Ovis aries: one gene and its partners. The protein of the gene in region 2 binds, or shares a complex with, the protein of the main gene of each other region. Links are inferred from orthologs where the notes say so. Each region holds a gene or a part of one and is shown on either strand. Other genes may lie near its edges.

Region 1 (4,082 bases), on a different chromosome or scaffold from region 2:
TTCTTTATGAGGGTGAAAGAGCGAAAAAGTTGGCTTAAAACTCAATATTCAAAAACAGATCACGGCATCTTGTCCCAACACTTCCTGGCAAATACAAGGTGAAAAAGTGGAAGCAGTGAGATTTTCTTTTCTTGGGCTCCAAAATCACCACAAATGGTGACTGCAGCCATGAAATTCAAAGACCCTTGCTCCTTGGAAGGAAAGTTATCATTCCCCCATTCAAAACTCTTCAACTGTCACATAGGATAAAATCCAAATTCCTTTCCATGGCCCCAAGGTCCCATATGATCTTGCTGGGCCTCCAACAAGCTAAGCCCCAGCCAGTCTCAGGAACTTTGCACATCATCTATTTTCCTCAGGTCTTTTCAAAAAAGGCTGGCTCCTTTTCACTAGATATCACCCATCCCACTTCCTCCAGGAACAGACAAGTTTCCCTGACCAGTCACCTTAAAGGCCCCCACCCCTCACCCGTTCCAGTCACTACCAAATCCCTGTTTTATTTCTTTCATGGTTCTTATTATAACTTGGAATTACCTAGTTGGTCTATTTGCTTATGTGTTGTCTGTCTTCTGCACTAGAATGTATGCTCCATGAGCACCCTCTGTGCTTCAACCATAAAACAGAGATGATTTAATTTACTTTGTGGAGTTGATACGGGCATTATTATCTTTTTAAAAATTCATGCTGTTCTCCCAATATCTAGAACAGTGAAGTAAACACTTAATATAGTACAAAGACTGAGTAAATCAGTGCATGAGATCAGGCAGTGACAGACCCTTTACCCAGTGATCCTAATTCAGCCCCATCCAGAGACTGGTGGCCTTACAGTTCGGGCCTCCTGGACACTTGAGGACAGGGGTGTGGTCTGCACTTCCAGGCCACCACCTCAAGGCAGCAGTGACCACCTTGACCTCAAGAGGGTTTCCTGTGACCACAAAGATACTCTATGGCAGCGGCTCCAAGCACTGGGCACAGAAAACATCCCCACCAGGGGACTGTTCAACAAAGGAAAGGGGACAAGGTAAATCTAAGGGAGGGTCCAGAGCAGAGAAGATGCCTGAAGGCCACAGCTGGGTCACCCAGGAGTCTAACCTGTAGGCCAATCAGAAAAACAGAGGCCAACGGAAAAACAGTCTCCAGCTACTGGAAGGAGAGAGACAACACAAAACTGAATTAAGGGGTAAGGGGCCCAGGGTAAACAGTCTCAAAGTCTGGATTCTTATTGGCTGTGTGCCCCTTCGACAAGGCATCTCCCCTTTTTGAGTCACTTCAGTTTCCACCTCAATGCAAGGAGAGAGGTGGCCTAGAGGCAAAAAGAATTAATTCTTAACTCATAAGACCCTCCCTTCTCTAAGGACTTAATATATTCATCCTCATGTAATCTGTCCAATAGCTCTCTAAGTAAGGATGTATTGATACCATCCCCAATTAACAGAAGAGGAAACTCAAGTTCAGAGAGTAACTTACCCAAGGTCACAGTGCCAGAGAAAGGCAGAGCTAAGCCACAAACCTGGGTCTAGCTGATGTCAAATAGCCTTATTCTCATTCTTAACGACTATGCTGCGAGCTCCCTTAGTGGAAGGCAGGATGGTGTAGTGGGTAAAAGCCTAGACTCTAGAGTGAAACTGCACAGGTTCAAATCCCAGGTCTGCCCTCTGGTACCTCTACCCCGTCTAGCATCGTTTGATCTTCACTATTTTCACCCCAAAAATGGGTATTAACAAAAGTACCAACCTCAGAAAACTGTGAAGATTAAGTAAAGTAGAAACGTAATCCCTGGGAAGGTTTGTTACTTACTCGGCACAATGTTTTCTTCCAATATAAAAGGGCAGGAGACAGAGCCACGAAACAAACACTACAACCTGGCGCTTCTCCCGTCTTACCCTATATTTAGCTCTCATCACAGCCCTAGGAGGCGGGGGAATCCTCTTACCCCCAATTCACAGATGAAGAAAACCGTGACAACTGCTTTAAGCTCTCCTTTTTCTGCCCTCCAATGATTCTAAAGCTAACACAACAAAATGACTTTTTTTATTTACTGGTTTACTTGACGTGCTTACTGACACCTCGTCTGATCAAATCTTCAGGGCCGGCCCCATCGGCCGCACGTCGCTGGCTCCCAATTAGCACTGAAGGGTGGCTGGAATAAATGAATGGAGAATTCCAGGCCTAGCCGGACTCGAGCTGATCCGGTTCGGCGGCGAGGAGGGGGCCCCGGACACCCTCCCCCTGCCCATCGGGGCGGGCCGCCTGCCCCGCGCCACACTGTCCAATGGGTTTCGCCTCCCTCGCGGGTGGTCAGGCCCCCTTCTCACGCCCACCACACAGCCACTGCCACGAGCCGCCACGCCGGCAGGACACCGGCTGCCTTCGGACAGGTGCTCCCACAGGAGGCCGGCCTGAGCCGGGTGGGGCAAAGCGGCGGGACCCTGAGTCACCGCCGGTAGCCTCGGCCTTGGCGTCACCGACTGCCACGGCGAGGCGAGGTCGGAGCCTGTGGCCGGCCCGGGTCTCCTGGGGCAGGCTGCCCGTCCTTCCCGCGGGAGTCCTAAGAGGCCCCCGGCCCCTGGGCACCGCGCGGCGCGGGCCTCCCGGCCTACTCAGCAGCCCCGCCCAAGCCCACCTCGTGAGTACGGCCCGGCTCCAGCACGGGTGGGTACTGCCAAGACGGCACTCACCTCTCCGCGGGGCCCGCACGCGGGCGCAGCAACGGCCCAGGTACCCGCGGGCTGCAGAAGCGGCAGTGGCCAGACTCTCCTCTCAGGCAGCGGCCATGTTGCCGGTGGAGAAACTCGGGCGGACACGTGGGGGGAGCGAGAGGGGCGGGCCCTAGCGCTTCCTTTTACCCACAATGCCCCGCCCCGGCGCGCGCGGACCCGCCCCCTCCGCCGCTCCATTCATACGGGCGGCCAGCCCTGGCCTGGCAGCAGGGGGCGCTGACGCAGTAGCAAAACAGCTGGTGAGGAGGTAGCAAGGGGCAAAAAGCTCACTCTGGCAGCGGTGGGATTCGAACCCACGCCCCCGAAGAGACTGGAGCCTTAATCCAGCGCCTTAGACCGCTCGGCCACGCTACCCAGTTGTGAGTGGGGCCTTCCAGAAAGCTATTTAATGCATTTACATGCAAGTACACTTAATTTCTGATTGTTTGCTATATGTTTTACTTCATCCCTATAGAACTATTTTAGAAAGTATTGGCTACTAAAAATAAAATATTTTCTCCAGTAATTAGACCCACACTTCTTCCGAACAGATCTTAGAACAGTTTAAGAATCTGTTTTCTGAGTAGGACGTTTAACACGTTAAGCAGGTTAACCCACACGGGAATAAACGATGGATTTCGGCAGTAACCCGCACCAGGGCTTCCGAAAGCCAAACCCGTGGACTGGTGTAGGCAGTTTTCTCTAAAATTATGTGTTTTAATTTTTAGTTACACAGATAATATGTGAATTATTGCAAAATATGAAAACTTTGTAGATAAGGTACTAATGTTCTTTTACCTTCGGTCTCTAAGTCCCTTCCTCAGAGGTAACCGTTATACAGCTTAGTACACTGCGTTTCCTTCTGGACCTTCTATTGTGAATTTATGTGAATATATATGGATATATTCACGTGGATAGATATATCCATAGAAATAGGTAGTTTGTTTTTATTGTTATGGATTTTACATAAATATAAATATTAATCATACTAGTAGTATTTATTGCTTTTGAACTGTGGTGTTGGAGAAGACTCTTGAGAGTCCCTTGGACTGCAAGGAGATCCAACCAGTCCATTCGGGAGGAGATCAGCCCTGGGCTTTCTTTGGAGGGAATGATGCTGAGGCTGAAACTCCAGTACTTCCGCCACCTCATGCGAAGAGTTGACTCATTGGAAAAGACTCTGATGCTGGGAGGGATTGGGGGCAGGAGGAGAAGGGGGGACGAGGATGAGATGGCTGGATGGCATCACTGACTCGATGGACGTGATCTGAGTGAACTCTGGGAGATGGTGATGGACAGGGAGGCCTGGCGTGCTGCGATTCATGGGGTCGCAAAGAATCGGACACGACTGAGCGACTGAACTGAACTGAACTGAACTGAGTA
Region 2 (3,970 bases):
TCAAGGGAAACTACTGACGTCACCTGCGTCCGAGAACTGGTCTTACTCTCCCACACCACTCTGCTCCACCGGAGGGGAGTTTATGAGCCAACAACTATATCATGAGAAGCACAGTACCCACCTGTGTGGGTGGTCTAGCACGTTTTTCACTTCCTTGATGAGGCAGAGTCCTTCAGTTTACTGTACTTTACCTTTTCGAAGAGTGTATACTAGAACTATACCACAAAAGGTGAATTATAGAGATTGCCCCCAAATGTGGATTTTTTTTTTTTTTTTTTTTGGTATCGACTGAAAGTGGGAAAGTTGCAATGCAAAAGAACGAAAAGGAAAACCTGACCCATCTCTGCCCAAACTATTGGCTCTCAACTCTGGCTATAAAACATAATCTCTCTCTGAAGTAAGTCAGGCAGAGAAGGAGAATTGTATGACATCCTTTATATGCGGAATCTAAAAAGAAATTATACATATGAATTTACTTCAAAACAGAAAAAGACTTACAGACTTAGAAATTGAACTTGTGGCTGCTTGTACACACTGTTGTATTTAAAATGTATAACCAAAAAAATAAATAAATAAAATGCATAACCAACAAGGATCTGCTGTATAGCACATAGAACTCTGCTCAATGTTATGTGGAGGCCTGGATGGGAGGGGAGTTTGGGGGAGAATGGATACATGTATATATATGGCAGAGTCCCTTCACTGTTAATCTAAAACTATCCCAACACTGTTAAATGGCTACACCCCAATAAAAAATTAAAAGTTAAATAAAAAAGATAATCACTGTTTCACTGCAAAAAAGTTAAAACAATTTTAAGGATGGATTCCCAGGCATCAGTATTTTTTTAAAGCTTGCACATTAGAATCACCTGGGAGCCAGGGTCGCTAATCACTACTGCAAAGAACTAAATCTACAAATTTAAACTTCTGAGCCACCTACTTAGTTATTTCCCCAAAGTCCAAATTCAGAGCAAGTAAACAAAGGGGCAAGGCTTCCCAGGTGGCACTAGTGGTAAAGAATGCAGGAGACACAAGAGATACAGGTTCCATCCCTGGGTTGGGAAGATCCCCTGGAGAAGGGCATGGCAACCCACTCCAGTATTCTTGCCTGGAGAATCCCACGGACAGAGAAGCCTGGCGGGCTACAGTCCCTGGGGTGGCAAAGAGTCAGACTCAAGCAAGTGACTGAGCACAGACGCACAAACAAGGCGCGAGGATTCAGGAGGCCTAGCTACTTACTCTTCCTTGATCTTCCGACTGATGATATTTGGGGTGAAGGTTTTCTGAAAGTAAAATACAGGAGTCACTGATTTGGTAAATTCTGGTCCCAAAGTACAGAGGAAAGGAAAAACTTCCAAAGGGCATCTTCCATGGATGAAGACCAATATGGCTCTCTTTGGCACATTCCATACTGTTGTCAAAGATTTACTGAAATGGACAGGTGCTTGAAAAGGAGGAATGTCATGCCAAGGCAACGGTGAAGCTATATATAGAAGGGGGCATCAAAAAACATTTAAATGGCAGCCTCAGTTTCTGCCTCCTGAAAGGACAACCCTCAGGACTCTAACAGCAGAGGAATTTACCTACTCTCACACTTCATCTTCAAATTGCTAAGACCAGACAGTATTATAGAGGATGAGCTCTACCAGCAAGGTTCAAATGGGAAAGACAGTTCTGCCAGCACTCACAAACTGATGATTGGGTTAGACTGCCACCAGAATTTACAAAGGGAAACTGAGGCCTTCAAAAACTGGCTGCTTTATGCTCTATCATCCTCCCCATTCTCTTTACAGTCTACCCGTCACATCTACAGTCACAAACATAATATAAGACACAGAGGCTCTACTATCACACCTAAGACTCAATACTTTGGACCAGAAGTCTGCACACTGGGATCCAGGGCAAATTCAGAACTCTCTTAAATTGCAGGCAAACTTTATGTCTGCGTGGCTTTCATGGGTTTCTGAAAGGTATCCAAGACACACCAAAAGGAAATAAACCCTGCTCAAGTTGCTTCTGAGCTAATTAGGATTCTCTGCTATTCAGCCATCTCTGAGAGCCATGTCAACATCTTGGACCCAGTATCTTGACTTGAAGGTAGGGCAGGCTCCCCAAAAATTGCAGGCGGAAGTCTGAAGACAAGATTCGCAAGGCCCAGCACCACGCCTGGCACACAGTAGGCCCTACAGTCAAACCCCCAAGTGCCTGGAATTCAGCGTAGCTGGATTTCTTTAGAAAGGTGCCGTCGGGTACCTTCTTGACTCCCCCGAGGGTAAGATCCCTGGAGCGGATGGAGGGAAGGCGGCCCGGGGTGAGGGGAGGTGCCGGCCTTCGCCCAATAAGCCCCCGCGCCCCAGAAAGGAGGGGTCGGGGCCCTCCCGGAGCGCTGGGCTCGCCCGCGGCGTTTCCTTCCGACATGATGCCTGAGAAAGAAGGCGAAAAGGGGTAACGAAGTCACTCGAGGGAGAAGGACTCGCGGACCCTGAGCGGAACCCCACCCACGTGGCCTCCCGCCCCCCGAGTCGGCGCGTCCCTCCGGCAGAGACTCAGCTCCTCCCCCTCCCACGTGGCGGGACTCCCCCGAACACCCCGGCTAGGGCCCTTGGCTCGCCTTCTCTCCAGGCCCCCGGCCAGGCACGAGGCAAAGACGCACCCCTCCGCACCTAGGATGTAGTTCCACACCACGCGTGTCCCGATTTCACCTCCGACGCGACGCGCAGCGGGTTCCCAGTCTCGGCGCCAGGCGGAAGTCTGCGTGGCAGGGCCGGGGCGCCGCCATCTTGTCGCGGGGCGGAAGTGATGTCGGTGGGCGGGGCCGGGCCACAGTATTTATCCCGCGGCGTCTCGCTCGCCTCCGCCTTCTCTTCCCGGTTCTTCCCGGAGTCGGGAAAAGCTGGGTTGAGAGGGCGAAAAAGGAAGAGGGGAAGGGTCTAGGGGAAGGGTACGTTCGCGAGGTCTTGGCCCCGGGCATAAGGTGGGGGCGCACAGCTCAGATCTGGGGGCCGAGAGGCAATCTGGACGCAACGTGGGAGTTCGTCGCTGGGGAGCCTCCGGGTCGAGACTCGGGATGGGGTGGGGATGCGAGGCAGATTGCGAGACCCCGACTCAGAGTCCTGGAGCTCTAGGCTGCGCCCGGCCGAGCCTCGATTGCCGGCTTGATGATGACCTTGGAGTGGTCACTGCACCTCCGGGCTGCGTCCTCATTCTCTTTGGGGGATCTCCTCGTCGGACTCCTGGTGGGGTCCTGGGGTGGGGCTGTGGACATGGGGCCGTGAGCACAGTGCTGGAGCAGCTGCAGCGGTTGAGGGGGGTGCCTCAATCGCACCTGCCCTAGGCTCATGACTCTGGGTCCTTGTATACACGCTTGTTCCAATCCTGGAACCTGAAAAACGAAGTTCGTTCTACTGGGAGGGATAGATTTAAAGAACTTTCATCGTGACTCTGACGTTTGTAATTAAACATAAAAAATGTCCTTTACTATCGTTCCCTCCCCTCCCAAACCTGTAACTTTAGAGATAGCTTGAGGGAAGGGAAACATTAGTTAGAATTTCACACAGAGTAACTATTAAAACTTTTGCAATATATTCCAGCCCCATCACAGAGATTTCATATTGTACCACAGTTTTGAATCCTCCCTTTTCAAATAACATTTCTTTGTGGCTGTATCAAACAACTGCATAATTCTTGGGTGGCTGTGTCATGATTTGCCTGTGTCGCTGTTTGGACACAAAATGGTTCTTTTTTCCTGTTGTAAATACCACTGTTTTGAACATCTGGTGCCTTTAAAGTACTTTAGTCTTTCGGGTTCTATTCCTAGGACAAATTTCTAGACTTGGCGATAAGTGGTCAAAAGAAGATGTACTTTAATTTTTTGTTTGTTTTGCTCTGAAGTAATAGTAGATACATGAGTAGTTGTATGCAATAGTGCAGAGGGACTACCCTGGTGACTCAGTAGCTAAGTCTTGGGGCT
Region 3 (4,155 bases), on a different chromosome or scaffold from region 2:
TAAACATGAAAGAGGAAGAGCAGGACCTCAGCAGGGTGCACTCAGGGACGGATACTCCCGTCCACACACAGCATGGGCAGAATCTGGACATTCTGAGCATCAAGGAGTTAATCTGCTGACTGGGAGGCGGGCTGGACTTCCTGACTCCCCGGGCAGCCACCCTTAAAGGGTCAGCTTTCCACCACGCCAGCCAAGACCCTCAGGACACGCAGTTCCCACTCGCAGCTGGGAATGCACCCTGGACAGTAAAGCACGCAGACGCTGACGCAGCTGGGCCACCCCGCCCTTAGTCCCGCCAGCGGTGTCCACACTGCGCGCTGCAGCACTTGTAGAAGGTGGTCATGGGCTCATCTGCAGAGCGGGTCTGCAGCTGCATGAAATAGGCTCGAGGATGTTCACACTTGGGACACGGCTCTGGCAACAAGAACAAACAGTGACCCACGGTTACTAAAAAAAACAAACGATCCTCATGATCAACATGCTTGTTAAAAGTGGACATTTCATGAAACACAGCAGCAGACACTCCCCAGCTCAACTAGTATCCGTCGCCTGAGGTGCCCTGCAAGGTTTTCCTGCAAAGGAGTGTCATTCCCACGGTGCTCTCACAACTGAGGGAAGGAGACCTGTGATCTTGATTGTACTTTTTTCTTTTTTAATTTTACTTTCACCGAGATTTCAATTCAAGAACCTTGCTCTTGATGAAAACTCCTTCAAACACTCAGACACTATTTGGTGTGTAATTCACCTCCCAGTGACAAATTCTGCCCATGAGAGATTTTTAACAGAGCAAATCTGGACGGCCCCCTCTGGGGTAAAAAGACAGTACTAATCGCCCTGAGCTCCTCCTCCTCTCTGGCCTGGTCGTGTCGAGGGCTCTCTTTCCTTCCTGGGTCACATCTGTCACTATCAGAGATGAATCAAGACTCAAATACTTACTTCACAGAATATTTAGGGCAGTTTAATACTCTTTACCTTTGACTTTAAAAGAAAACTATATTAGAACAGAATCCTTACACTGATTTTTTAATTAATCCCATCAGCATCAATATGAGATCACCCTGAGACTAACTCAGGTCTGAATCACTCCAAAGCTTGTGCCAATACTGTCTGCGCAACAAATACATTAGAGAAGAAAACAGTTTCTAGTCTCAGAAGCCCACTTGATACATCACAGACTCTGCTCTGCAGTGGCACAGCCAGCGGCCTCATCCTTACCTACAGCTCCTGGCTGCACCCTTACCCAAAGCTCTGAAACAGGAAAGGTTTTCTCTCTCACCTGCAGTAGAGTCAACATTCTCCCAGGCAGCTGCTCCACCAAGCACATCATCCACTTCTTTCAGCTTTGGATACTTCCGATTTGTTACCTAACAAACAACAAACAGCAGGTCTTCAGACTCTCCCAGGAAGCGACCAGTACAAAGCCAGGTCACCAAACCATGCCTTCAAGTATCAGCCCAGACTCTGCTTCCTGCCTTCAACATGAAGGGAGGAATACTAAAGGAAAGCACAATTCCTGCTGTCACCGAGCAGGAATCTCCATGAGAATCAGGAGGATCCACAATTGGGATGTCCCCATAAAAAGATTCTGTGAGGACTGGATGAAGCAACTGAGCAGGAAAGGAAAAACGGCGCTGGTGTGACCCTCTTGTTCTCCCACCTCTACAATACTTGGTCACTGAAATAAGACATCCAAAGACGACTAAGGCCAAAGTGGAGCACTTGGCAGGGTGGCCCAGCCACTCTGCCCAGACAGAGCTTTTTCTAACTATTTTCCAGGTTTTACCAGCCGTCCTTGAAATGTCACCCTTCATAATTTCAGACTCTAAACTCCCACAGCACTGCTACATGGTGGAGCAGCATATAAACTAATGAGGTAACACCGGAGAAGGCGATGGCACCCACTCCAGTGCTCTTGCCTGGAAAATCCCAAGGACAGAGGAGCCTGGGAGGCTGCGGCCCATGGGGTCGGGAAGAGTCGGACACGACTGAGCGACTTCCCTTTCACTTTTCACTTTCCTGCATTGGAGAAGGAAATGGCAACCCACTCCAGTGTTCTTGCCTGGAGAACCCCAGGGACGGGGGAGCCTGGTGGGCTGCCGTCTATGGGGTCGCACAGAGTCGGACACGACTGAAGTGACTTAGCAGCAGCAACACCAGCGTGCTCTACTTCTAAAAATTATTAAAGGTGTTCTAAAAAGGAAAGAGGCATTATCGACGGAAAGTAACATCTGAGTTACAACTGAGTTATAACACAGTATGTATCACTCCGTACTGAATACCCAATATATCCCAGATGTTCAGACTAGAACATAAGAGGGGACGAAAACTGAAAAATGTATACCCTAGTGTTAACAAACCAGGCGCACAAGTAAATTATAAACCGCAATGGAAGGCAAACGAGTCCTATTAAAAAAATAAGATTAGGAGAAGGGCGAGGTGGAGAAAGAGGCTGCAATTTTAAATAATCCTCCGGGTAAAAGCACGAGCGACGAGTGACACGGGTACAGAGGGGAAGAGCGACCCGGGCGCAAAAGCCCTACACAGGCCCCCGGAGCAGCGCGCGGCGGGCGGAGCGCCACGGGGCGGCCGGCAGGGCCCAAAGGACGCCGGTCCAGGCGGGGAAGGAGGCGGGGAAGGCCCGGGTCGCGCGGGCGCCTCGCGAGAGCGTCGGCCTCCGCGCCGCGCGCGCCCACCTTGCGCGTGACGTTGTGCACGTAGGGGCAGGTGTTGCACGCGAAGCGGTGGCAGCGCGGGCCCTCCTCGACGATCAGCCCGTTCCCGCAGCCCGGGCAGAAGAGCAGCATGGCCGCCACAGGCTCGGCGCTCCCGGCAGCGCCCGCGGCAGCACGGCGCCGGCGTTCCCAGCGCCCCGTGGTCCCCGCCCCGCCCCCTGCCAGCCCACCAATAATCACGCCGCCTCCCCGCCCCCAGGGAGAGCAGTGGCGGGCCGGCTCCCAGTAGCTCATCTCTCATTGGTCCTCGAGTGGCCCCGCCCCCGACGCCCGACGGTGGGGATATAGTAGCCTTCCCGGCGCGTGCGCGACCACCTCTGTCGCGCGGACCAGCTGTGCGGGCGGGGCCGGCGGGAAGCCCGGCGCCCTGGAGGAGCCGCGGGTGGCGGCGCGGCCGGAGCCGCAGGACGACGAGGAGGACGAGGAGGAGGCGCTGCCGCACTCCGAGGCGGTGGACGTGTTCCAGGAGGGCCTGGCCATGGTTGTGCAAGACCCGCTGCTCTGCGACCTTCCGATCCAGGTGCGCGGGGGCCGCGTCGTTCCCCCGGGCGGGGGTCGGGGCGCGGACGGACCCTAGGACCGCTGGGGGCTGCGGCCTCGGCCTGGGGAAGGCGTTTCCGAGCGTAGCGGAGCGTCTAGGCAGAAGGCTCCTGCCGGGCCTGGAGGCGAGCGAGGCTTTGGCCTCGGGTGCGAAATTTAAAGGGGCGCCGAAAAACCGACTGGTCAGGACATTTGACATGTCAGCAGTGTTTTAAAAACAACCAGAAATTGGTGTGCAGAAGCCTGGGGTAAGCAGAAATAATGTAATTTTCAAGTAAAAAGTAAAAGATCGATGTTTCCCATTTTCCGTTCTCCTCAGACTTCAGGAAGGTTCTGCCTAACTTTATAAACGCTGTCAGCTTGTCTGCCTTTGTTGTTTTGGGTGGTGAAGAGAGCTCCCACCTCCATCCTTGGTCTTTTCCAGGTTACTTTAGAAGAAGTTAATTCCCAAATAGCATTAGAATACGGCCAAGCAATGACAGTGCGAGTGTGCAAGATGGATGGAGAAGTTATGCGTAAGTGCTGCCCTCCCGCTCTGGCAGAGCAGTCTGAACCTTCACAGGAGAGGATGTTAGCAGAGCTGGTGGGTGGGAACTCCGGGCTGTGCCCAGGCCTGTTGGGCACACCCACACCTGCCCAGACTTGAGCTTTGGGAAGTTACAGAGCTTCTGGGCTCTCCTCTTGCCACCTGACGCTGGGGATCTTCTGCTTGTGCAGCTGTGGTTGTAGTCCAGAACGCCACGGTCCTGGACCTGAAGAAGGCCATCCAGAGATACGTGCAGCTCAGGCAGGAGCGCGAGGGAGGCATTCAGCACATCAGCTGGTGAGTGGAGCCTCGGCTCCTCCCTCAGCCCTTCCTGGGAGACGGGGAGGATGTGCCGGA

The links. The genes of interacting proteins can lie anywhere in the genome.
Region 1: POLR3D (region 2) and POLR3E share a complex: the UniProt entries of both Homo sapiens proteins name them as parts of the RNA polymerase III complex. The link is inferred for Ovis aries from reciprocal best matches to the Homo sapiens genes POLR3D and POLR3E.
Region 3: POLR3D (region 2) and POLR3K share a complex: the UniProt entries of both Homo sapiens proteins name them as parts of the RNA polymerase III complex. The link is inferred for Ovis aries from reciprocal best matches to the Homo sapiens genes POLR3D and POLR3K.

Annotation. Positions count from the first base shown.
Region 1 is NC_056077.1:20,517,782-20,521,863, reverse strand, and holds the start of POLR3E (DNA-directed RNA polymerase III subunit RPC5), read right to left. Parts: upstream 2,805-4,082; 5' UTR 2,679-2,804; intron 1-2,678. UniProt on the Homo sapiens protein: DNA-dependent RNA polymerase catalyzes the transcription of DNA into RNA using the four ribonucleoside triphosphates as substrates.
Region 2 is NC_056055.1:43,365,488-43,369,457, forward strand, and holds the start of POLR3D (DNA-directed RNA polymerase III subunit RPC4), read right to left. Parts: upstream 2,805-3,970; 5' UTR 2,664-2,804; exon of another isoform or gene 2,612-2,663; intron 2,424-2,611; 5' UTR 2,419-2,423; coding exon 2,254-2,418; intron 1,284-2,253; coding exon 1,240-1,283; intron 1-1,239. UniProt on the Homo sapiens protein: DNA-dependent RNA polymerase catalyzes the transcription of DNA into RNA using the four ribonucleoside triphosphates as substrates.
Region 3 is NC_056077.1:658,988-663,142, forward strand, and holds the start of POLR3K (DNA-directed RNA polymerase III subunit RPC10), read right to left. Parts: upstream 2,805-4,155; coding exon 2,694-2,804; intron 1,365-2,693; coding exon 1,277-1,364; intron 415-1,276; coding exon 287-414; 3' UTR 1-286. Other genes in the region: SNRNP25 (U11/U12 small nuclear ribonucleoprotein 25 kDa protein), read left to right, coding at 2,803-2,880, 2,962-3,252, 3,697-3,787, 3,990-4,095. UniProt on the Homo sapiens protein: Core component of RNA polymerase III (Pol III) which synthesizes small non-coding RNAs using the four ribonucleoside triphosphates as substrates. Can mediate Pol I proofreading of the nascent RNA transcript.